Linked DNA regions of Nothobranchius furzeri. The protein of the gene in region 1 binds, or shares a complex with, the protein of each later gene. Links are inferred from orthologs where the notes say so. Each region holds a gene or a part of one and is shown in the gene's direction. Other genes may lie near its edges.

Region 1 (3,422 bases):
TTCTCTATTTGTCACAGGGAAAATGAGTATTCATGGCTCCGCCCACCTTGGCTTGCTACCACAAAAGGCTGTTGTTAGCCATTTTTACAAAACAATGCCGCCAATTTGCCACAACGCCATGGCGGCATTGGGGAGCCTTAGGTTGTTTGAGTGGTCAGTCCGTGGCAGTAATGTGGCGCAATCGTGTCCTTTTTACAAAAGATTAGGCGATGGCGATCTTGCTTTTTGTTGCGATTGAAGCCGTGCTCGTTACGTTTTTTTTTTTTTTTTTGACAAGCCGCTCCTAAAGGTGTCTGTTCCCCACATTCCCTGTGCAGTCTCTGGTGATCTGACCTCCGGCTCTAATGGAGAGAAGCTCCAGGAGCGCTGCATTGCTTCAGGTTGCCGTTTTTACTTTAATTTTCAATATAGTTGTCGGCCGGAACTCTGCAGTAACTCCCCACGTCATCATGACACCTCCCTCTGTTGCACCGAGGCGCAATCGCCATTTATAAGACATTTACTGCAATGTTACTACTAAGCAAGGTGGAACAAATGCCATAAAATTCACCCATCGTCATGCCAGCACGGCGCGTTTATAAGGCACTGTTGCAATATTACGCCGGTTTGCCGGCACAGTGAATCTTGTAAAAAGCACTTTTGATTTTGCAGCCAGGAGATAGCATCTCCGCTAATAGAAGCTAACCATTAGCCACTCCACAACATGGTGGAGCATTCAGGCTCGTGTTATTTGACGAGATAAAACATCTACGTTGAGTTATTTACACAAGAAAGGCAAAGCTGCCTTATTTCTGCAGCACAGTTCATACACAGAGACAATTCGATGTGCTTTGAATTAGCAAGAATAGCACGAGCATCAAAGTAACGTGACAGCACAATCAAAGTACACAAATGAAATGAGAACAGATTAATCTGGAAAAAAATACTTTAAAGTTAAAGGGTGAGCAGTTACAGTGCAGAAGGTGCAGCATAGGAAACATCCAAAGGCTGATGAATACATGAATGTTTTCAGATAGAAGAGTGAACGAAGGCAGCGGAAGAGTCACGTTGCTGTTAGCCAAGTAGAGGCCAGATGCTTGCATGTCATGAATGTAAATGGGTAATGGACTCTAAATTTTGCTCCGCCCCCAAAAACAATCTTCTAACTAACTTCAACTTCCTGAAACAGGAGCACCAGAGCTTTTTCTCCCCCCACAGAAAGCAACTCATTAATTTATACAGCAGATTTCTTGGATAAACAAGTGAATATGACGTTTAAAAACTTCACGTAGTTTCACTCAAAAACATTTGGGACAAATTCTCTTCCTACAAATGAAACGATTCTGAATCACCAAGTCCATAATAATGCTTAAAGAGTCTTTCGTTCCTTGTCGTCCGTATTTTTCTTTGAACATCTTAGGTGTGTTGTTGCTGTGTCGTATCTCTAAGTCCATGCTGCCGTTCTTCTTTAAAACACAGAGCAGTTTTGTTTACCTGTTTTCCCGCTACGTTTCGTTTCCTCAGCCTGAGGAAGTCTGCAGCCGCAAACGAAACGTAGCGGGAAAACGGGTCAACAAAACTGCTCTGTGTTTTAAAGAAGAACTACAGCATGGGCTTAAAGAGTCTGTCTGAGTTTTTACCCAGTGACCTCTGTCTGCAGCACGGCCTTCACAGCCCTTTCAGACACCGTATAAAAGTCAGGTTGTGTTCAGTCTTGGTTATGATGCTTGACAGGGATCTCCCTGACTTAAGTGTGCTGTTTGCAGGGTCCTAAACTCAGCGGGGTTCTCCCTGCTCCTCACCAAACAGTTGCTCTTTATGGCAGCACGGCAGACCTCCCCTGTGTGGAGGATGTGCTGCAGGCTGCCTACAAGCTTCCTGCATGACGCAGATTTGCCATTTAAAGCCACACTGGCCGTGTTCATCGTTAGCCAAGCGGGTTCCTACTCAGGAGCCCTGTTTCTGATTATCCTTCCAGTTTATGGGGAAATGTATGCTCGGTGGCAGACGGGCCTGGAGTTGATTATGGAGATAATTTTCATTCCTTTGTTCTTTCTCATGCTTTAATTGTCTCAGAGCTGCTCTGATTTGATCTGTGTGATGTGTAAAAGATAACAGTCGCCAAATCTTGTATTTGTGAAAGGAAAATCCAACGTTTTCCTAAAAGGAAACTGCTCTTGTTTTCTACAGACGATGGCCAAAGTGATTACTTCCATGCTGAAGTTTTCTCCAGACCAAGCCCAGAAGGTTTTGGACAAAGAGGATTCAAAAACAATCGTAAGCATCTTGTTACGATCCGAGCACATTGTAAACCCCTCAGATGTGAGTTTTAGTAGCTCCATCAGCATTAATCTTCTCTTCATGCCTCCACAGCCTTGGTTACGATGAGCGTCTGACTTCTGATGTTCTGCTGCTGCTGAAGGAGAAGACAGCCATGATGTATATCAAGCGCTTTTCCATATTTCATTTTTTATGAGTGTGTGTGCGCGAGCGTGCGTGTGTGAGTGAGTACAGTATGAGGGAATTCGGTATTTTGTCAGAAACATGAAAATCTTCCATAATCTACATTAAAATAAATTTTATTTATGTTTTAGATCAAGGTAAGAGGCTTTCCTGTTGTGTTTATACAGACTGGCTTGTGCAATAAAAGATCTCGCATACTGACGCCGACAGTCGGTTGATTTCTATGTTTTTGTTTTGTGCTCTTGTCTGAATCACACCTGTTATTTTGTAAAGGACCCTTCAACTTTGCTCTTGCACTAAATTAACCTTCTGGTCTCTGGACCTCTTTTGTTCACAGCTTTTTTACACTTTATATTTTAAAATGGTTAAAAAATCCAAACCCAAGAGTGTAAATTGTATAATAAAAAAGACAAACTGTAATATAGGGCATTTAGTGATTTGCTTCACATTTTTCAGACTAATAAATACAATATGAAACTATTTACCAATCACGTTTTGTCACTTTATCCTTTTTTACGATGTTTACACTTTAATTGTCTTTATTTACTTTTTGCTCACAGTTTAATGTTTTTTGTCGCAATGCATGCAACAAGAAATCGGCATTTTAAAGATGATGCCACATCATGTTTGTAATATTTTTCTTGAGAATGTTAGAACTACTTTTCTTATTGTTTAGTATACTTTTTGATGAATACAGAAATGCAGGCATTTAAATAGAAGTTAATCTCATTGGTCATGTGTCTGATGTGAAAAGCTGGTTTTTATTTCTCCTTGGGGCTAAGATCTGAGTGGGTTTTGCAGGAAATAGTGATGCAAGAACAGAATCGGTGACAAAGCATCACTGAATAGATCCAGTCTGCAAGGATGTTGGTAAAAACTCAAACGTTGCTCCAGTCAGCAGATAAGTGGCAGTTTTTCATTTGCATTAGTTCCCTTAATTTATACTTCTACTGGGGGGTGCTTATAGGGTTGTTCTTACT
Region 2 (4,030 bases), on another chromosome or scaffold:
TAATTATTACCCCTGATTCAAAAGGTATAGAGGGTTTTAAACGTCCTTAAATAAGAACGCATAAGGTCAACTTTGCTGAAGCCATCAGCTGGTTGACTTTCATCACCACTCCTGGCATTTCCTCTGCAATCAGGCTAAGATGTCATGACTTTTAGTGATGTCTAAACTTGTGGTCAGATCAGGAAAAAGCCACACCTGTAAGAGACGTATGCAGAGACTTCTCCTGTTTTCTTTGTCTGTCACATATAAAATCATCACTTAATTTTTATATTTATAATAATGTCATAAAACACATTGTGTCTCACCTGTTCTGGTATTAAATGTAACTACAAAGACTGACACAATCTGGTCCTTTTCCTCCCACTTCACCATCCTGTCTTCCAGAGACACCTCTATGGCTCCTGGATCCGACAGATGCGCGTCCTTGTCGGGAGGCTGCGCTTCATCCACCGCCGCCGGAGCGCCGGAGGTCGCGGGTGGGGCACCGCAGCCGTCTCCGTTGGACACAGTCCTGGTGGGACCCCCTGGTCCGCTGCTCCACCCAAACCCAGAGCATCCTGAAGGGGCTCGGTTGTTGGGCGGGCTGGACAGCCGCTCCTTAACGTGAGGGACCGCAGGTGCCTTTCCGTCGGTTTTCTCCGCTGTCGGCACCTCCTCCCAGTCCAGCAGGGGGGCTCGGTCCGACCGCTCCACCATCCTGTTCGGTGGTGCCGCCTTGTCGGTCTCTCACCGCCTATGGTAAACGATGTCTCAGGCGACAGCCACCGAGTCCACCCGCGGATAATTAAATCTCACTGCATTTCATACATATCAAAGTTATTTCTAACTGTTCACAATGGCTACATTTTGCTCTGAATTCGCATGAAGTGTTGCAAATTCTTTCTAATAACTGGAGATCATAAATTTGATGCTGCTCAGAAAGGGCAACTCCTTTTGGCTGAAGTTGCGTTCAAAACCATACATTTATTGTCGCACATGCTAAGAAAAACAACCATTGGATGTTTCGAAGCGCAAATTCAATCGCGTTTCTTGAACGTACCCCATCCCCGAGCGTCCCTTGGCTTGTGAAGATTTTGACGAGCCGCACTTTCTATTAAAATATATTAATATTTTTTACGAGGTGCACACAAACACTTGAAACTTCAATGTTCTGAAAGATAACGTTTTTATATTTTATTTCAAGAATATATTTTACGTTTGTTAAATATGTAGTTGTTGTGTTGATTTACAGATGGTGACGTTGTTTGTGTGACGAATGTGCGAAAGTGAACTCAAGCGAACGTTGATCACTTCCTGCAATGACACGTCAACCAGACGGAACTAACCTGTCAGTTCATCGGGTCCGCGCTTTTGACGAAAATGGGTGAGTTTTATATACTCCTAGAACATAATGTGAATACTTTTCACTTGTTTTATGCAAACTACTCTTGTAAGAAGTGATAAATCGAATTTTCATCCCTGCCCCAGCCCTTTAACGCAATAGGAGACGCCAGTTAGCCTAAGCTGGCTAACATCTACAGTGAATTTTGACGTGCGTTGTCCTTTCAAAATTAATCGTTTTCATTAGGTTTTTATGCGGGGAGCTTGAATATATTGCTTACCACCAATGCCGTTCCATATGCAACGATGTTTAACTTTATTGGTTAGAAAACGTGATAACTTTAAACAGGCAAGCTAATATCCGCTAGCTTGCTCAGCCACAGATTGTTGTAAAATGTGCCAAAACAAGACCACTTAGTAGGTATTTTAAGGGTTTCTAGTGGTATAGCCGTTAGTTTACACTTGGTTTCCTTCAAGAATCTCTTTAGGTATTTTAAGTATTCTCAAATCTGAGACTTATATTTTTCCACATTTTCTGTATTCATTGAGTAAGATCCACGTTGCTTTGTGTCATTATCTACTGAGATATTAAGGGAATGGGTCAGCCCCATAAAGCCAAGTTTAGAAATCTATTCACTTTAATTCTGGTTTTGCGTGTTTCCTCTGCAGGGGGTTTCTTCTCTAGTCTGTTCTCTGGCTTGTTTGGTACCAGAGAGATGAGGATTCTGATCCTGGGTTTGGACGGTGCAGGAAAAACTACCATTTTGTACAGGCTGCAGGTTGGAGAGGTGGTCACCACAATACCTAGTATGTACTGCTTGTCTTCCTTCTCTTCGTTTCTTTTTTTAAATTAAACTCAATCACTAGAAAACCAGCTAATACCAGTGAGATTATAATTATTTTCCAAAGAGCATCTTCAGACCCAGATCTTATGAATGCTTTAAATCCTTAAAAATGCTTGAATTTTATTGTGGTATTTTCCACAAGGATGTACTTTTATTACGATTTTTACAGAGCATGAGTTCTTATATTTATATTTGATGCAAGTTACTTCAGAGTTTTAATTAATTATTATATAAAATTAAAGATAATTGTAAAGCACTTTCAATTGCCTTTGTGTTTGGAATGTGCTCTATAAATAAAGCTGCCTTGCCTTGCCTAATGCCAGTGATCCAAGATACAGTTTGATATAACACAGAAATAAGGCAGAATTTTTGTTTTGGCTTATTTTTTTAAACTGACAATAACTCTTTCAGAAGCAGTCAGGGAAACCTGTAACATAGAGCAAGGTCTGGCGCCCTCGCTAGAATATTGAAATTATTTTTATTCGGTTTATATTTCATCTGACCTGTATACAGTGTCCTGCTGGTCATGTGTCAAAATTTGATCAACACCAGAGTAGGGCTGGGCAATAAATAAAAAATTTATCATTATCGAAATTTCTGACTCTTATTGAGATCATTTTTCCCATGTCAGTAAATTTGATAATAAAATAATGGAAGAATTATGTGTAGGTTGGCAACATTCATGTCGCTTTAACAAGCTGTTCCACCATGTGTCACGTAAAAATGTGACTCAATGTAATACTTGTGGCAGCCCCCTCTAGTGGAAAACTTTTGTTTCTGCGCATACCTGTAGTTATCGTCCATTTATCGTTATCAAGGTGAAATCCTCAATTTATCGTGATATTGATTTTAGGCCATCGCCCAGCCCTACTCCAGAAAAGTTTCCATCTTTCCTGGGATGTGAAAAGATTACAAAAAATATAGTATTTTTAGTGTTTGCGTCAGTTAATTTGGTCTGGACTTGATGTACATACATCGACCAATGTGTAAATAATCAAACTGAAACTTTCAGATCAAACGTCTCTGATTAAAGCTAATGTGAGAAATGGCTTTTTCATGACCAATAAATACACAAATGTCCTGTTGTAGACATTTGAAAGTGTGCTTGATTTATAATTGCTAACACCATGTAATGCTACAGGACTCTTCTTAATTAGTTATGATAATTAGATATTTATTTGTGCAGAATGAAAGGTGTTTGTGAATAAGTATTTCTGTGGTGCGAGTGCAGGATGTCCAAGTCCTTCAACACTGGAGGACATTCATCTTAATAAAATAGAAAAGTATTGGGGACAAACTAGACGTGTCCCAGATATTTTGTTGTCTTATCAGTTTTGTATCAAAGCATATTGCAGGACACTAGTGTGATATTAAAATGATAAATGTGGCACATTGTTTCTGATAAGATGGCTTGAGTAATCATCAGCAAGAGACTCGTGTGATTTGAATGTGTAGAGCCAGCCTTATGAAACCTATTTTTTAGTATTTTCCCCCACAAAATAAGTCTTTTCCATTTTTATTTTTAAGAATAAAACTTTTTATACCATCAAACTCTAAATTATGAAAACATAAGCAAAAAAAAGTAATGAAAGTTTTGAAATGGGGTCACAAAGGGCACTAAATCTGTCAAGTTTAGCTTTAAAGTCTGACACAGATTATTTGTGTTTTTCATCTGTGAATATGAGGAGATGTAAAATACGATGATAGATTTCATGGTCTGGAGACTCCACCTGGTTTTGTTTCAACTAGAATTATAATGACTCATACTTGTATAGTGCCTTTCAGAGTCAGGACTCCAAAGCGCTTTACATTATAAATATAGTGTAGTATATACCGTAGATATACTATGGATCCACTATAAGTCT

What was found. The genes of interacting proteins can lie anywhere in the genome.
Region 2: the proteins of golga4 (region 1) and arl1 are in contact, whole or in part, in a crystal structure (PDB 1UPT), measured with the Homo sapiens proteins. The link is inferred for Nothobranchius furzeri from reciprocal best matches to the Homo sapiens genes GOLGA4 and ARL1. Residues at the interface, in NP_002069.2 of Homo sapiens: Thr2173, Glu2174, Glu2176, Tyr2177, Lys2180, Val2181, Glu2184, Glu2190, Thr2193, Lys2196, Val2197, Thr2200, Val2201; in NP_001168.1 of Homo sapiens: Ile49, Gly50, Phe51, Gln64, Trp66, Ser73, Ile74, Pro76, Tyr77, Cys80, Tyr81, Ser83, Glu115.

The regions. Positions count from the first base shown.
Region 1 is NC_091752.1:16,173,372-16,176,793, reverse strand, and holds the end of golga4 (golgin subfamily A member 4), read left to right. Parts: intron 1-2,169; coding exon 2,170-2,256; intron 2,257-2,352; coding exon 2,353-2,367; 3' UTR 2,368-2,922; downstream 2,923-3,422. UniProt on the Homo sapiens protein: Involved in vesicular trafficking at the Golgi apparatus level. May play a role in delivery of transport vesicles containing GPI-linked proteins from the trans-Golgi network through its interaction with MACF1. Involved in endosome-to-Golgi trafficking.
Region 2 is NC_091741.1:56,892,177-56,896,206, reverse strand, and holds the start of arl1 (ADP-ribosylation factor-like protein 1), read left to right. Parts: upstream 1-1,230; 5' UTR 1,231-1,359; coding exon 1,360-1,363; intron 1,364-1,989; coding exon 1,990-2,127; intron 2,128-4,030. Other genes in the region: DENN domain-containing protein 11, read right to left, coding at 306-696. UniProt on the Homo sapiens protein: GTP-binding protein that recruits several effectors, such as golgins, arfaptins and Arf-GEFs to the trans-Golgi network, and modulates their functions at the Golgi complex.